Linked DNA regions of Macaca fascicularis. Each later gene encodes a partner of the first gene's protein in a complex. Links are inferred from orthologs where the notes say so. Each region holds a gene or a part of one and is shown on either strand. Other genes may lie near its edges.

The links.
Region 2: the proteins of WDR48 (region 1) and USP46 are in contact, whole or in part, in a crystal structure (PDB 6JLQ), measured with the Homo sapiens proteins. The link is inferred for Macaca fascicularis from reciprocal best matches to the Homo sapiens genes WDR48 and USP46. Residues at the interface, in NP_065890.1 of Homo sapiens: Arg50, Trp77, Asp118, Tyr119, Lys121, Leu137, Arg139, Ser170, Tyr172, Thr188, Asp211, Asn212, Lys214, Ser230, Gly254, Trp256, Arg272, Ile364, Leu424, Lys425, Gly521; in NP_073743.2 of Homo sapiens: Arg181, Leu183, Asn184, Cys185, Glu186, Thr187, Cys222, Ser223, Glu224, Lys226, Cys232, Cys233, Ser234, Lys235, Gln236, Glu237, Gln239.
Region 3: the proteins of WDR48 (region 1) and USP12 are in contact, whole or in part, in a crystal structure (PDB 5K1C), measured with the Homo sapiens proteins. The link is inferred for Macaca fascicularis from reciprocal best matches to the Homo sapiens genes WDR48 and USP12. Residues at the interface, in NP_065890.1 of Homo sapiens: Arg50, Trp77, Asp118, Tyr119, Lys121, Leu137, Ser170, Tyr172, Thr188, Asp211, Asn212, Lys214, Ser230, Gly254, Trp256, Arg272, Ile363, Ile364, Leu424, Lys425; in NP_872294.2 of Homo sapiens: Arg185, Leu187, Thr188, Cys189, Glu190, Thr191, Ser227, Lys230, Cys236, Arg237, Ser238, Lys239, Gln240, Glu241, His243.

What each region holds. Positions count from the first base shown.
Region 1 is NC_088376.1:101,122,162-101,127,336, forward strand, and holds the start of WDR48 (WD repeat-containing protein 48), read left to right. Parts: upstream 1-1,775; 5' UTR 1,776-1,793; coding exon 1,794-1,841; exon of another isoform or gene 1,842-2,369; intron 2,370-5,175. UniProt on the Homo sapiens protein: Regulator of deubiquitinating complexes, which acts as a strong activator of USP1, USP12 and USP46. Enhances the USP1-mediated deubiquitination of FANCD2; USP1 being almost inactive by itself.
Region 2 is NC_088379.1:81,255,865-81,261,216, forward strand, and holds the start of USP46 (ubiquitin carboxyl-terminal hydrolase 46), read left to right. Parts: upstream 1-1,739; 5' UTR 1,740-1,882; coding exon 1,883-1,918; intron 1,919-2,338; exon of another isoform or gene 2,339-2,533; intron 2,534-2,740; exon of another isoform or gene 2,741-2,856; intron 2,857-4,450; exon of another isoform or gene 4,451-4,712; coding exon of another isoform or gene 4,713-4,727; intron 4,728-5,352. UniProt on the Homo sapiens protein: Deubiquitinating enzyme that plays a role in behavior, possibly by regulating GABA action. May act by mediating the deubiquitination of GAD1/GAD67.
Region 3 is NC_088391.1:7,178,268-7,183,521, reverse strand, and holds the start of USP12 (ubiquitin carboxyl-terminal hydrolase 12), read left to right. Parts: upstream 1-2,021; 5' UTR 2,022-2,149; coding exon 2,150-2,251; intron 2,252-5,254. UniProt on the Homo sapiens protein: Deubiquitinating enzyme that plays various roles in the regulation of the immune response and inflammation.

The DNA.
Region 1 (5,175 bases):
ATTTAAGAACAAGTATTTGTCAAGACAACTTTTCTAAGCATTACTTATATACTAGCACTATGCAACAGAAATTTGTGACCACAGATGTAATTTGAAATATTCTAATATCCATATGACAAAATTTAATAATAAATTTTATTTAGCCTAATATGCCCCCAAACATCATTTCAACATGAAATCAATACAAAAAATTATTAATGAGATATTTTACATTCTTTTCTTCAAACTAGTCTTTGAAATTTGGGGGTAGTTTACAATTACGTATCTAAACTGGAACTAGCTATATTTCAAGTGCTCAAGAGCCACAGATGACTAGCAGATACAACATCAAATCCCACAGTGTAGTTCTATAGGATTCACTTTCACTAGAGAGGGCCTGATCACCCTCAGCTCCTATAATTAGTGTCAGTGAAAACCACACTTTCACCCAGAAGGACCTAACTGTTCTAGTATAAGAGATGATTTAAACTAGAACTGGGTTTTCAGTTCAGGGTTTGGAACTGAGTTGTCTCTGGGAACAATTTTAGCTGATGTACCGTTTTCACCTTCCTGTAACATCTTTCTGTCTTTTTTTTTTTTTTTTTTTTTGAACTTTTAAGTTCAGGGATACAAGTGCAGGTTTGTTATATAGGTGAACTTGTGTCATGGGGGTTTGTTGTACAGACTATTTTGTCACCCAGGTATTTTTTTTTTTTTTTTTTTTTTTTTTTTTTGAGACGGAGTCTCGCTCTGTCCCCCAGGCTGGAGTGCAGTGGCCGGATCTCAGCTCACTGCAAGCTCCACCTCCCAGGTTCACGCCATTCTCCTGCCTCAGCCTCCTGAGTAGCTGGGACTACAGGCGCCCGCCACCGCTCCCCGCTAATTTTTGTATTTTTTTAGTAGAGACGGAGTTTCACGTGTTAGCCAGGATGGTCTCGATCTCCTGACCTCGTGATCCGCCCATCTCGGCCTCCCAAAGTGCTGGGATTACAGGCTTGAGCCACCGCGCCCGGCCTGTCACCCAGGTATTAAGCCTAGTACCCGTTAGTTATTTTTCCTGATCCTCACCCTCCTCCCACCCTCCACCCTCCAAAAGGCCCCAGTGTGTGTTGTCCACCTCTTTGTGTCCATGCGTTCTCATCATTTGGCTCCTACTTACGAGAACACGCCGTATTTGGTTTCCTGTTCCTTTGTTAGTTTGCTTAAGGAAACGGCCTCCAGTTCCATCATGTCCCTGCAAAGGACATGATCTCGTTCTTTTTCATGGCCCCACTTTTTATCCTTTTAATTTAAATGGATTATTTGCTCTTCCCGAAGATGGAGGCAATCTCCTTTGCAAGGACTTCTATTCTTCCCCCTTTGAGGCCAAGATACAATTCTCCGCATTTTTAGGTACTTAATAGTAAATCACTTGGTTCCCCTGCTTGTCTAGGAAGGGTTAGGAGATCGTCCAGCGCCATGTCTTGCACTGTTAATTCTTTCAGTGCTTTCATTTCGCTTGGACCTCTCGGGGAGGGCCTGGAAAAGAGAGCAAGCCAGGGTCTAGGGCCACACAGAAGTGGATTTGGATTGCTCACTCAGCCCTGAAAAGTGGCTCTCTCCCCATCAGTATTATACTTGCACAATGATTTTGTTTTTAGGTGCATCTACCTCACCAGGTGGCTACCGGCCATACAGCAACGAACACCACCCAGGAAACACATATCCTGTCTACCTTCAGACCCGCCACTGATCCTTGGCCAAAGGGAAACGGGCAGAACATCCGCCCGGTCTGAGCCACCTCCGGAAGTGACGTCGGAGTGTCAACATGCAAGATGGCGGCCCATCACCGGCAGAACACAGCAGGGCGGAGGAAAGTGCAGGTATGGAAGCCCGGTTCCTCGGCCTTCCGGACGCGGCTGGCAGCTCCGGGCCCACTCCAGCTAGAAGGTGTCCGGGACCACGGCCGGCCGGGGTAGCGGCATGGGGCGAACGGGGCGGGGCGCGGCCGGCCTTGAGGGGTGGGGCCGCGGCGCTAACGGCTTGAGGAAGGGGCGGGGGTCGGCCTGCGTGGCCCTTGGGGCCCAGGCCCGGGACCCTCGCGGGCGGCGTTCTGAGCCCGGGATTGCTGGTCGCCGCTTTTCTGTAGGAATGGACTTGCGGGGTCGGGATAGGCTAGTTCCCCGCCCACTTGCCTCCCTCTTCCCCTGCCTTTCTTCGAAGCGCTCTGCCCTCGCTGCGTCTGAGCGGAGGCCTCCAGGGGTTTCCCGGGAGGGTGGGCGTTGGAGGAGTGAGCGGCCTGTGCGGGGGCGTGGCGAGGCGGCGGAGCATCGACGGCCCTGCGGGGTTTCTGCTGAGGATTCCGCACTTGGGAGCCCCCAGCCTTCTCTTATGTTGGAGCTGTCCCCTGGGTAGGTGGAAGTGACATGAGAATGTGCGTGGGGAAATTATAATTTTAATTGGGAATTTAAGTTCGTCTTCACTATTTCTTCACCTTCAGTGTGCATCGCTGAATCTTTCTTTATTGTTTGTATAATTTATTGTCCATGTGGTAAAGAGTTGTCTAATCTTATCGTGTGTGTCTTGTGCCTTGTGCCTTTGTGAATTCACTTTTGTTTGGGGTTACGCTTAAGAGTTATTGCCACTTCGGGGAACATCACACACCGTGGCCTGTCGGGGTCTGGGGGAGGGATAGCATTAGGAGAAATACCTAATGTAAATGAGTTGATGGGTGCAGCAAATCAGCATGGCACATGTATACCTGTGTAACAAACCTGCACGTTATGCACATATATCCTAGAACTTAAAGTATAATAATAAAAAAAGTTATTGCCATTTAATATTTTCCGTGATGCAGGGAATAAAAGCCCTCTTACAGGTGTTTGCCTGCAGGTGTATTGTATGTGGTAGTGGCAGTTTGGTGCATTTATTCTTTAAACATTTACCTAGCACTTAGAGTGGCCCCCAGAGGGGAAAAGGGATTGAAAGGTTGTAGGAATAATTTACACCTAGGCTTTCTTTATAAAACACAGCATTATATGGAGTTCTGCAGGTTGAAATCAAGTGTCAGATGAAGGTGGTTAGATAAAGGGATCCTTCAGTAAGGTAATCCCAGCAGAAGGTGGTAGGTTATAAAGTCTTCTGAGTAGTTCACATCTTGGTTTTATTGATCTCATTGATCAGCACAGTGTCTTAAGCACTCACTGTATGTTTGTTGAAATGAGTGAAATTAATGAGTCTAAACTCACTCTGTTAGGTGAGTTTTTCAGTGCATTAGTGATAGGATTTCAGTATCACCAGCATCCAAGGCAGGTAGTGAGAATGTCTCCTCTGGATGGAAATATAACTCAAAATTGTAACCTGATTGTATTACAAGTCTATAACACTATATGGTGGTATACTTCTCTGGGGAATAAGGGTAGTTCATCAGGCCTTTCAGTTTATTGCATTAAGACTTAAAAGTCCTATTACTGCAGTGTGTTCCCTGCTTGCTTCCTTCCCAGGCCTACCCACTCCCAAAATGCATGCAATAAAGTATATATATTTTAAAAAGACTTACAAGGCAATTGTACTAGTATGGGATGAAGAAAATGTAAATTAACTGCAGCAGGTTTGGAAAACCAATGTTTTAATAGGCTGAATGTGAGCCAGTGCATGTAGAATGAGACAGGTGATGGATAATGCCACTTTTCACTGGTCAGAATAAAAAATTAGAGTTTGCTCTTCCGCACTTAGGACCGTGTTCTTCATAGGTAGCAATCAGATTGGTGAACTGACTTGAAATTATTTCCTATGAAGAACTTTTGAAAGAGCTGTCTGAGATTAACCTGCTGAAGAGAAGATTCAGGTAGCTTTCAGAATTTGTCCCCAAGGTATAGAAGCAGCCTGAGAAGCCACAGGGATTGATTTCATCTGAACCATCATTGTCTATGAGGTGTTATTTAAACTAATGAGTGTTCATTGTAAAAATCCCAGCAAACAAAAGTATAGATTAGAGTTGCCCTCCATGCTTCCGAGAAAGCTGCTGTGGGCAATGTCATGTTTTAATCCTAGACCAGAGTTTATCAACCTGAGCATTCTTGAAATTTTCGTCTGGATAATTCTTGGCTGTGTCTGAGGGAGGGAGCTGTCTTATGCATCACAGGTTCTTTAGCATCATCCCTGGCTTCTACCAGCTAGATGTGGTAGCATCTCCCTGGTTGTGACAACTAAAAATGTCTCCAGACGTTTTCAGATGTCCCCTCGAGGGCAAAACTGCTGCTGGTTGAGAACCACTGTTCTGTACCTCTTCCTGCTTGTGTACCTGACTTAACGTGATTTTTTTTTGCTATAAGTGGAGCCATAGTATTCACTGTTTTGTGTCTTGCTTTGTCAAATTTTTAAATAAACACTCCCTTTAGCCCAGAATTCCTTATCTAAAAATATATTCTACAAATTTGCATATGCATATATCTGTCCCTACTTATGCAAGGGTGTTGTGTGAAGCCATTCTTGAATTGCTATAAAGAAATACCTGAGACTGGCTCATTTATAAAGAAAAGAGGCATAATTGGCTCACAGTTCTATAGGCTTTACAGGAAGTATGGTGCTGGGATCTGCTCGTCTTCCAGGGAGGCCTCAGAGAGAGAGAGAGAGAGTCAGAAAAGCAGGTCAACATGGCATATTCCCATTTCCACAAAGGAAATACGTGTTTTAAAAGTCTGTAAGGGTCATAGCAGTGATTATCCCTTTGGGAATAGATTGTGTGATTATAGATAAGACAGGACATGGGATATCTTTTAGTTTGAAGTATACATAACTTTGTATTTTTGAACTTTTTACCACAGTATTTGCTCTTATACATCAAAAAGAAAACTTCTCGTTTTGGAAAAAGCATATATGGGTACTTGCAGTAAAATATACTTTGTCTCCTGACTGTCTCAGACCAAGGGATAGTAGCCCTGAGCTCCTTGTCAAGTTGTAGGCCAAGACAAACCCTTGAGACTTAAAATATTGCTAAATAATCAGTGGAGGCCGGGCGTGGTGTCTCACGCTTGTAATCCCAGCACTTTGGGAAGCCAAGGTGGACAGATCACTTGAGGTCAGGAGTTCGAGACTAGCCTGGCCAATATGGAGAAATGCCGTCTCTATTAAAAATACAAAAATTAGCTGGCATGGTGGTGCTTACCTGTAATCCCAGCTACTCGGGAGGCTGAGGCAAGGGAATCGTTTGAACCC
Region 2 (5,352 bases), on another chromosome or scaffold:
GTTTTCTGGGCCTCTGTGTTGGGATTGGTCATAGCTCAGTTGTTTTTTGTCTTCTCTCTTCTCTTCCTCTCCCAGAGTGCTCAGCCCAGGTTACCACACCAACTTCATCTGTAGCATTTCGGTAAGGCATCTGGGCAGGATACTTGATCCTCTAAGCCTTATGTTACTGATCTGCAAAAAACGAGATAATAGCATCTACCGGCTAATAGTTATGGTGGCGATTAAAGGAGATCATGAATGTAAGCATTGGGTGCAGTGGTTCACGCCTGTTGTCCCAGCGCTTTGGTAGGCCAAGGTGGGATGATCACTGGAGCCCAGGAGTTCAAGATCAGGCTGGGGAACATAGAGACCCCGTCTCTTAAAAAACAAAGAGAGAGAGAGAGAGAGAGAAGAAAATCAGTCATGACTTACAATGGAAGAAATTATCATCAGGATGTATTTGGAAATAATATTTAGGTTGAAAGACTTAAGCAGGAATATTACTTCTTATGTGCACTGGAAAACACAGTGACATGACTCCCAAAACCTTCAGTCAACGAGTCTGTCTTACTGTTTCCTCCCCAGATCCTAGGGGGTATTAGCAATCAAGGGCTCTCAAATGTTTACTCTTGGTTAGATAAAATTTATCTTCAACTAATTTTTCTTCTGATTCAATTTGTCATTAAATATATTGATTTAAGAATTTATCACGCATCTCACTTGTACAACTTCTCCCATGAAAGCATCGAATTGCAACTTTGTATGTGTAACTGTTTCACACATTCAGAAACCGGCCCCTTCAATTCGCGTGGACCTATCTGCTAAGTGGTGCACAGACTCACCCTCTGAACCCACAGACACGACCTTTAATGCGGGAAATGTGCATGATCCCATACAGCGTCCATCTCAACAATTGGAGGCTGGGCATCCCTGAGAGGGGTATGCCTGCCTTGAAGATATGGAAAAGTTTTGTTTTCGTTCCTTCCGCTCCTTAGTGCTTGCGCGGAACCGGGACGTCTCCTTTGGACCCGCTAATGTTACAAGCCGCCCAAGCGCGCCGCTGCTGGCCTCCGCCCAGACCCGGATTCCTCTCGCCTCCTGGCGCCCTTTCTCGGGCGCCCGGCCCGCGGCTGGCGAGGGCTCTCTGACCGCTCCGGTGTCCTCGCCCCATTTTACTTCTTGGGTCCCCGCCGGTGCCATCTGGTTGGAACCCTCGGGAAGAACTAAAAGTTGGACGTTGCCACCCCTACCCCTCGCCAAAAACTAAACACCGGAGGCTGCCGAGGCGCTGCGGGAGGAAGGCGACAAGGAAAAAGCGAGGACGGAAGGCGGCCCCGGGTTCGCCCCGGCCCGGGCCTCCCGCCTCCCCACCCCGCACCCCGTGCCGTCCCCGGCTCCCTGGCTTCCCGACGGCGAGGAGGGCCGCTGCTTCCGCGTCGGAGTCGGCCAGGGGGACCTGCGGGGTGCGGCTGCCGCAGCGGCGCGCCCCGGAGCCTGGCCCGGCATTCCAGTCCGAATAGAGAGAGGCAGGGAATCAAATGGAAAAGCAGGAGGCCAGGCCGGGCGGGGAGGGAGGCGGCGCGGCGGGGCCCGGGAACCCAGCCCGGAGCGCTCGGAGCGGCCGGCTTGGACTCACGCGGCGCGCCCGGGCCGCCCCTCCTCCCCGCGCCGCCGGCCGCGGCCCAGGCTCCCTCGCTCCGCCACTCCCCGCCCCTCCGCGCTCCCTCCCCGCCCTCCCCGCGCCGCCGCCTCCTCCTCCCGGCCTCCCTCTCCCAGCCAAACTGAAAGCTGGACCCCAGGCCGCCGCGCCGCCGCCCGGCCTCCCAGCCAGCGCGCCACCATGGGCAGTCCCGGTTTCCCCTTGTAAAGATGGCGGTGAGGGATCGCTGCAACCTTTAGACTAATGACTGTCCGAAACATCGCCTCCATCTGTAATATGGTGAGTGGCCGAGCCGCCTCGGGGTCGCGCCCGACTCGCGGCGAGGCAAAGAAAGGGAAGCCCGAACTGCACCATTCGCCCGGCGGCTGGGGCGGCGGGGTCCGCGCCGCCAGAAGTTCCCGGCCGCCGAGCTGGGCGCGCGGTCGCAGCCCCCTCAGCGGCCGGGGAGGGTCCCCGAGCCCCCCGCGCCCGCCTCAGCCCCGGTACATCAGAGCCCGCCCGGCGATCCCGGGGCCCCGCTGCTGCGCCCCCGCCCTTGGGTTGCGGTGGAAGCGGCTTGAGGGAAGGGAAGCGACCGAACCTGAACGTCCCCAGGGAGGGGGTGGGGGATAAGGTGGAGGTGGGGGCACCCATCCTCTTCTTGCGGTCAAGTCGGCCTTGTTGGACGCCCAGACTGCCCTCATCTCATTTTGAGTTCAGTCCTTCAGCGGTGTTTAGAATTCACTTTGCAACACCAATTGTGTATATGGAGAAATTGGAAATGTAATAAAGCTGTAAAAAAGTGCAAAATTGTGGCTAGAGAAGTGAACTTCAGCCTGGTTTGAAAAAGCACCGTAATTTGCTCCGCATGCCTCAGTTTCCCCATCTGTGAAAAAGGGACAAGGCTCTGTAGCGGTAATATTTGCATGCCCTAAGGGTGGGGCCGGCTGTGGGCTTGGAGGAGGTCTCCAGGGTTATCCTACCTTATCCACTGTAGACCTAGGGGAGACTGGCGGGCATGGATACAGCCAGGGACATCACTGGGTTCTGATGCAGTCCGAGCCCATGACGCGGTGGTCACTTTAATTTGGGCTTCTCCCATTGCTTTCCCTTTTTCTGTAGGAAGAACCTCCAGCCCTTGGGTCCCCAGGGTCCCCAGGGTGGACCCTGCTGGCACCTCCACACGTCAGAGCCTTTGGGAGCTCAGACTGGAGTAAGGCATTGCTGTCCCTTGCAGGGTGAGATGATGTGTGCTTTGCTCCATTCTTTAGACTGCACCCCGCCCCCCTCCAGCCCCCTCCCAAACTGGTCCCCAGAGGCAACACGTGCTCTTACAGTGCCAGTTTGAGGAAAACCTCCCTAGAAGCTAGTAATACTGGCCCCTAAAGGGAATCCAAGGAAGCTTGTTGGAGAAGCCCTGGTGTAAGGTGATCTGGCTGTCCTTCCCCCATCACATAGCTTTTTAAATCTTCTGTCCCACATTCTGTTGCAAGATCAACACATGGCAAAGGAGCATTAAGAAACCTTGTGTTAGCTCAGGGGTGGAATTGAGACCTGCTGGCTTCAGCTTTCAGCACAGTGGGACGTGCCACTGTCACGGCCAGCAGAGCAAATGCTGGGGCCTCCCAGAGTGATAGCTGCACAGGTATTGGTTGGTGCCGGGCGAATTCATACAGGGAGTGGATCCTGGAGCCTTTCTGTTTTCTCTTTTTTCATTTCTCTGCGAGGAGACAGGTTTACTCTTATTCCTGTGGAGGGGCTGCTTGTTATAGAGGTGATGCCTTCTCAGTTTCTCTCTCCTACGACCAGCTTCTGAGGGAACTGTGAATCAGGAGCAGCTTGAATACTCTCTCATGTCTGTTGGTGTGGCCGCAGGCCTAAGGATACTACAGGGTAGTTAGGCTCCGTCCCAGCCCTTGGTGGTGTTCTTGTCCAGCTTGTGTGTGGTTACACCTCTCTGTGTAGAAGCAGGCTGGAAACTTGAGAGCTAGCATGTCCCTAGAGGAAGCCAGCCCCCAACCTCCCCCCACCCGCCTCCCTCCCGCCCTCAGTGCTGTTGGGGCTTTCTGGCACACCTGGGCTGAATGTCACAATGTGTTTCAGTGAAACTCAGCTAGGGAGACAGGGTGTGGGGAGGACCTGAGAGGAGCAGGCCAATACTGCCCTGAGAGTTGACATCTCGGGTGGAGACCTAAAAAGGTACCAAATTTAGGACCATCACCCAGATGAAGTGAGGAACGAGTAATTTCATTAATTAAAGAGTCCGATGTGCCTATTTAGACGCTGTGTCTAGAGAGAGTGACAGAGTTTGGGTTCTAATGTCAGACTTTCTGGGTTCAGGTCCTGGTTCCTTTTTTTTTTTTTTTTTTTTGACAGGGTCTCACACTGTCACTCAGGCTGGAGTGCAGTGGCATGAACATGGTGGCTCACTACAGCCTCCACCTCCCAGGCTCAAGCGATTCTCCCACCTCTGCCTTCTGAGTAGCTGGGACTACAGGCACGTGCCACCATGCCTGGCTAATTTTTAAATTTTCCATAGAGACTGGGTCTCCCTTTGTTCCCCAAGGTGGTCCCTAATTCTTGGGCTCAAGAGGTCCTCCCACCTCAGCCTTCCGAAGCGCCAAATTACTGCTGTGAGCCACCATGCTTGGCAGGTCCTGGTTCTAACACATGTTGGCTTTGTGTCCTTGAACAAGTTGCCCAGTCTTAGACTTTCCTTATCTACCAAAAGGAGATGTTAATATTGTATTACTCGGGCATAGGGCCTGGTACATGGCTAGAACTCAGTGTCATTGTCAACATCATCTTTCTCATTGTTATGTCATCTACCAGGTGTTTAAAGGACAGTGGAGATCATGCCATTTCAGACCTGGTGGAAGCAACCACTAATATAAACACCGCCCACGTTTAGGAAGGCTGGAGTGGGAATCCTTAACCCCGCCCCCTGCTCAGGTCACCCCCCCCCCCCCCCCCCCCGCCCCTGCCGCCCCTCCCAGTCTTCCTTCCCAGAGGAGAAGGCTGGATATGAGAAAACTGCTGTCTTTTCACTGGATCAGACGTAAATATTCACTGGACCTTGATTCTTCGCTCAATAATGAATTGTTTCCAGGTAGGTGTCTTACAGGTCCCTTCTCACTGCTTAGCTTCTCTGTGGGCCTCTTACTGACCCTTCCCACTCCTAAGTTTGTTTGGTCCCAGCTGGTTTGAGTAGTTGTAGTAAGAGCAAGTGAGGATTGCATTTTTTTTTTTTTTTTTTTTTAAGCAGATCGTTTGACATATTTTGAACAGGCTGATATGTGACCAGAAAGGATGTTAGAAGATACCATTTTTCTGGGTAACAGGAAAAAATGAAGATCTATCATTGAAAGTGGATTTGTTTCCTCCATCAGATAAGAAAGGACCCGGCAGAGTAGAAACCAAACTTGTGGCAGATACTTTGTGTGATTGAGAACTAAACATCCCCTCTTTTCCCCATACTTCTTGTGCCAGTTTTAGATATAGGAAACTTGGAAAATATCCTCATTCCTCCACTTACCCACCCACTTGCTGAACTTTTATTGTCCACTGGAAGTTTAGTACTAGTTTCCATTTGTTTTAATTTTTCTTCCGTGTGAATTCCTGCCATGGTAATTCTTGATGAACTTGCTCAGGGCAAGGCAGCTTGGCCACACAGCAGTGTCTGGTTCAGATATAGTAAAGCTTGTTTGGCTGGTGTGTTGTAATTTTCATAATGC
Region 3 (5,254 bases), on another chromosome or scaffold:
TTACCTAATGATTTTTAGCAACTGTTGATAATCATTGCGTAGATCCAGTGTTTCATTAGGGCTTCAGAATATAGTTTTAACTGCTTCTATAGGTTTTTTTAAGAAATATTTTTAAAAACATTGAAAGAGAATGTACATCTATTCTTTGTTGTATTTGAAGCTACACAGAAATAAACTTTTTACATTTTCAGAATATTTTCATAGTTGTATTCCCAAAATCATACATTTAGGCAGGCTAAAGTTTACAGATTAAGTTGAACCTTTTCCACACCTAGACTTAATTTTGTGATATTACAAGTGAATGAGTACATGAAGTTCTAACACATTTTTGCATCTGAACTATAATTAATAAGATTTAGCTGATTATACACTAAAACTTAACTAAGTAGTTTTTCTTTTGTTTTCCATTTTTTAATATGTTCCACCTCAGGGTTATATATTTACTGCTGCTATGCTTTAAAAAAAGCAACTTCAAATTCTTAAGCACAGGATTCTGAAAATTAGATGAACTAACCAGATACAGTTACTTTAATTTTCAGATTTTAGGGATATTAGAGTGCATTTATTTCTATTTGTTTTTCTATTTATAATGTTTAAAATGGACCAATTTGTGTGTGCATTAGTTTCCAATGAGGCTGTAACATATCACCATAAGTTTAGTGGCTTAAAATCACACAAATTTATTATTCTAAAGTTGTGGAGGTTGCCGGACGCAGTGGCTCACGCCTGTAGTCCCAGCACTTTGGGAGGCCGAGGCGGGTGGATCACAAGGTCAGAAGATCGAGGGCATCCTGGCCAACATGGTGAAACCCCATCTCTACTAAAAATACAGAGAATTAGCTGGGCATGGTGGCCTGTGCCTATTGTCCCAGGTACTTGGGAGCCTGAGGCAGGAGAATTGCTTGAACCTGGGAGGTGGAGGTTGCAATGAGCCATGATTGCGCCATTGCACTCCAGCCTGGGCGACAGAGCGAGACTCTGTTTAAAAGAAAAAAAAAAGGTTGTGTGGGTCTGGCTGGGCTGAGACCAAGGTCTTGGCTGGACTGTGTTCTTTCCTGGAGCTGCAGGAGGGACTGCTGCTTTGCCTTTGCCACCTGGACGCGGCCCTTGCCTTTTGGATCCTGGCCCCTGCAGCATCTTCAAAGCCAGCCATGACTGGCCAGTCTTTCTTTCATTACCTCCCTCAGACAGGGACTGTCCTGCTTCCCTCTTTCACTTACAAGACCCGTGTGATTACATAGGGCTGACCTGGGTAATCTGGGATAATCTCTCAAGGTCGTTTGATTTTAGCAACCTTAATTCCTTCTGCAACTTGAATTCACAGGTTCTGGGGATTAGGATGTGGACGTTTTGAGGGAGGCAGTTATTTTTCTACTACCACAATATGCACATTTTTTTTAGCTTTAAAAAATATATTAGAGGTGAAAATCAATTCGAGATATGCCTTTAATGCATTTTGGGTTGTGGTGAAAGATTGGGAAGAAGTTGAGTGGGTTTGTAAACATATACCTTTTGTACTAAGTGAACATTAAGAGGTGGTTATCTGTTCTAGTTTTGGAAGTAAAAGAATTTTTACTTCAGGTACTGTTAGCACACTACCAATCTCAGCAGGAGAAAAGTAAAGATGCAGTGGAACATTCAGGAAAATTAGCTACCAATACTTTTACAACTTTTGATGAGTAAATATAGGCTTGGTAGCATGAGAGGTTATGAAAATGGATGAAATGAATAAAAGCTGTACTACATGGCCTTGCTCAACAGAGCATATGTAAAATGTATTTTAGGATTTTAAGATTAGATCAGAACCTTTTATATTTACAGTATAGTAATTTAAATGATGGTTGGGCTTCATTAAAAGATAATCTTGGAGGTTTGGAGAGAAGGCCTTAGGCTGTGTGCTTCCTAAGAAAGAAAGGGCAGAAAAGGGCAACTGTGACATTTTCTTAGGCAAAGTGGAAAGATGTGGAAATTTCTGTGGGTGATATTAGTAGAATTTTAGTAGAGTGAAATAGATTTTTAATGGTTAAAGATAGTATCAGAAGAAGCTCTAATTTGAGGATTGCCAGATCTCAAAATATTTTTGTTTTGAAGTTTATTAAACGACTGCCATAATTAGATTTGATACCTCAGTAAACTTACGAGAAATAGGATGAAACATAGAACCTGGACTTCTAGGGACTTCGTTTTTCTCATTTTGCTTGTAAGTCTGAAGAAAACCAACAGAGCAAGAGAGGCTAAGAAAAGAGACATGGTAAGGAGACAGAAAAGAATAATGAGTGAATATTGGTGTATGGGCTGTGCTGGGTTAACTATTAAGTATGAGTGATTCTTACTCTTAAGGAAGATACGTCTTTTTGGGGAAATGAGCCTTACATGCACATCCAACAGAACAGTATCAGAAAAGTGGGTGTATGAGCTCCATGAGGGTGATTTGTGGAAGGGGAAAGGTTGAACATTTCATTCTCAAGTACTAGCAGGATCTGTAACTCTAATGTACCGATTAATGGATTATAGCACAGCTTTTTATTGTTACAGAAGTGACATATCCACTCTTGCCATTCCCATTTTTGGAGTTTATTGTTACTAGATTTCATAGTACTTGAAACTGGAAAATATTTCTATTTCATTACTATGTTTTTGTATGCATATGTATATATGTTTTATCTTAAAAACAAAATTTATATTGAAGATGTTAAAAGTGAATTTGAGTTTTGGACCTTAAGCTTTATTTATTTACTTATTTTTTTCTGAGACAGAGTCTCATTCTGTTGCCCAGGCTGGGGTGCAGTGGCATGATCTTGGCTCACTGCAACCTCTGCCTCCTGGGTTCGGGTGACGCTCCTGCCTCAGCCTCCCAAGTAGCTGAGATTACAGGTGCCTGCCACCACACCTGGCTAATTTTTGTATTTTTTAGTAGAAAGAGGGTTTCACCATGTTGGCCAGGCTAGTCTCGAACTCCTGACCTCAGGTGATCAGCCTGCCTCAGCCTCTCAGAGTGCTGGCATTATAGGTGTGAGCCACCACGCCTGGCCAGGACACTGAGCTTTAAATGTCAGATATAAACAATTCATCAAAAGAGACTCCAAGTTGAGACGGAGTCTTGCTCTGTCACCCAGGCTGGAGTGCAGTGGTGTGATCTTGGCTCATTGTAAGCTCTGCCTCCTGGGTTCACACTATTCTCCTGCCTCAGCCTCCTGAGTAGCTGGGACTACAGGCGACCGCCACCATGCCCTGGCCAATTTTTTGTATTTTTAGTAGAGACGGGGTTTCACCGTGTTAGCCAGGATGGTCTCAGTCTCCTAACCTGGCGATCCGCCTGCCTCAGCCTCCCAAAGTGCTGGGAATACAGGCGTGAGCCGCCGCACCTGGCACAAACTCTTTTTTCATAAAACAGCTTTATTGAGATATAATTCACATACCATACTAGTCATCCATTTAAAGTGTACAATTTAGTGGCTTTTAGTATATTGATAGAGTTTTGCATTTATCACCACAGTCAGTTTTAATCACCTGAAAGATACTTTATACCCTTTAGCTATCATCTCTCTCCTCCTCCTTTTCTTTCCCTCCCCCTTCCAGCCCTAGGCAAACCAACCACTGATTGACTTTATGTGTTTATATAATTTTCTGCTTTGGACTTTAGTATATGGAATCATAGAGTATATGGTTTTTGGCACTGTTTTCAAGGTTCGTTTATGTTGTGATATGTATTAGTAAAAACTCTGAAAACTACAAAATATTGCTAAAAGAAATTAAAGGAAATCTAAACACAGAAAAAAAATACCATGTTCACAGACTGGAAGACTTTAACACTTAAAATGGTAATACTCCACAAACTGATCTACAGGCTCGATGACATCCTCATCATGGCTTTTAATGGACAAATACTGTTCCATTGTGTGGATATACTACATTTGTTTATTTGTTCATTAATGGACATTTTGGCCATTTCTACCTTATGGCTATTTTGAATAATACTAATGTAAACATTGGGGGTGCAAGCTTTTTATGCACATATGTTTTGTTTTCCCATGTGTCTGTACTTTGGAGTGGAATTGCCATTTAATCTTTTGAGGATCTGCCAGATTGTTTTCCAAAGATGCACCATTTTATGTTCCTGCCAACAGTGTATGGCTGTTCCCATTTCTCTGCATCCCCATTGGTACTTGTTATCTGACTTTCTGATTGTAGCCATTCCATTTTGGGTGTGAGGTGGTATCTCATCTCATTGTGGTTTTGATTTGCATTTCCCTGATGAATAATGATGTTGAGCACCTCTTTATGTACTTATTGGCGATTTGTGTATCTTCTGTGGAAAAATATCTATTTGCATTCTTTGGCTGTTCTTTGAGTTGTCTTTTAATTGTTGTAAGAGTTTTTTTTGTTGTTGTTTTGTTTTTGTTTTTTCAAGACAGGATCTTGCTGTGTTACTCAGGCTGGAGTGTAGTGACATGATCATCCCTTGCCACTCCAGTTCTCAAGTCATCCTCCCACCTCAGCTTCCGGAGTAGCTAGGAGTACAGGTGCATACCCCTATACCTGGCTAATTTTTTACTTTTCGTAGAGATGGGTTCTTGCTATGTTTTGCCCAGGCTGGTCTTGAACTCCTGGCCCTTGGGATCCTCTTGCCTAGTCCTCCCAAAGCACTGGAATTACAGGCATTAGCCACCCTGCCTGGCCTTGGTGTAAGAGTTCGTTATATATTCTGGATACAAGTTTCTTGTTAGTTATGTCATTTGCTAATATTTCCTCCCATTCTATGGGTTGTCTTTTCATTTTCTTGAGGGTGCCATTTGAAGCACAAAATTTAATTTTGATTTTGATGAAGTCTAATTTATCTAATTTTTTTTTCTCTTTTCCTTTTTTTTTTGGAGGCAGAGTCTTACTGTGTCACTGGATATTGGCTCACGGCCACCTCCACTTCCTGTGTTCAAACAGTTGTGCCTCAGACTCCCGAGTAGCTGGGATTACAGTTGCGTGCCACCATGTCCAGCTGATTTTTTTGTATTTTTAGTAGAGATGGGGTTTCGCCATGTTGTCCAGGGTGGTCTTGAACTCTTGGCCTCAAATGATCTGCCCACCTCGACCTCCCAAAGAGCTGGGATTACAGGTGTGAGCCACAACGTCTGGCCTGAGTTTTTTCTTTTGTTGTTCATGCTTTCGGTGTCATATTCATATTTTATAATCCTTTGCCAAATCCCATGTCAATCCTTTGCCAAATCCAATGTTTTTCTTTTAAGAGTTTTCTGGGTGT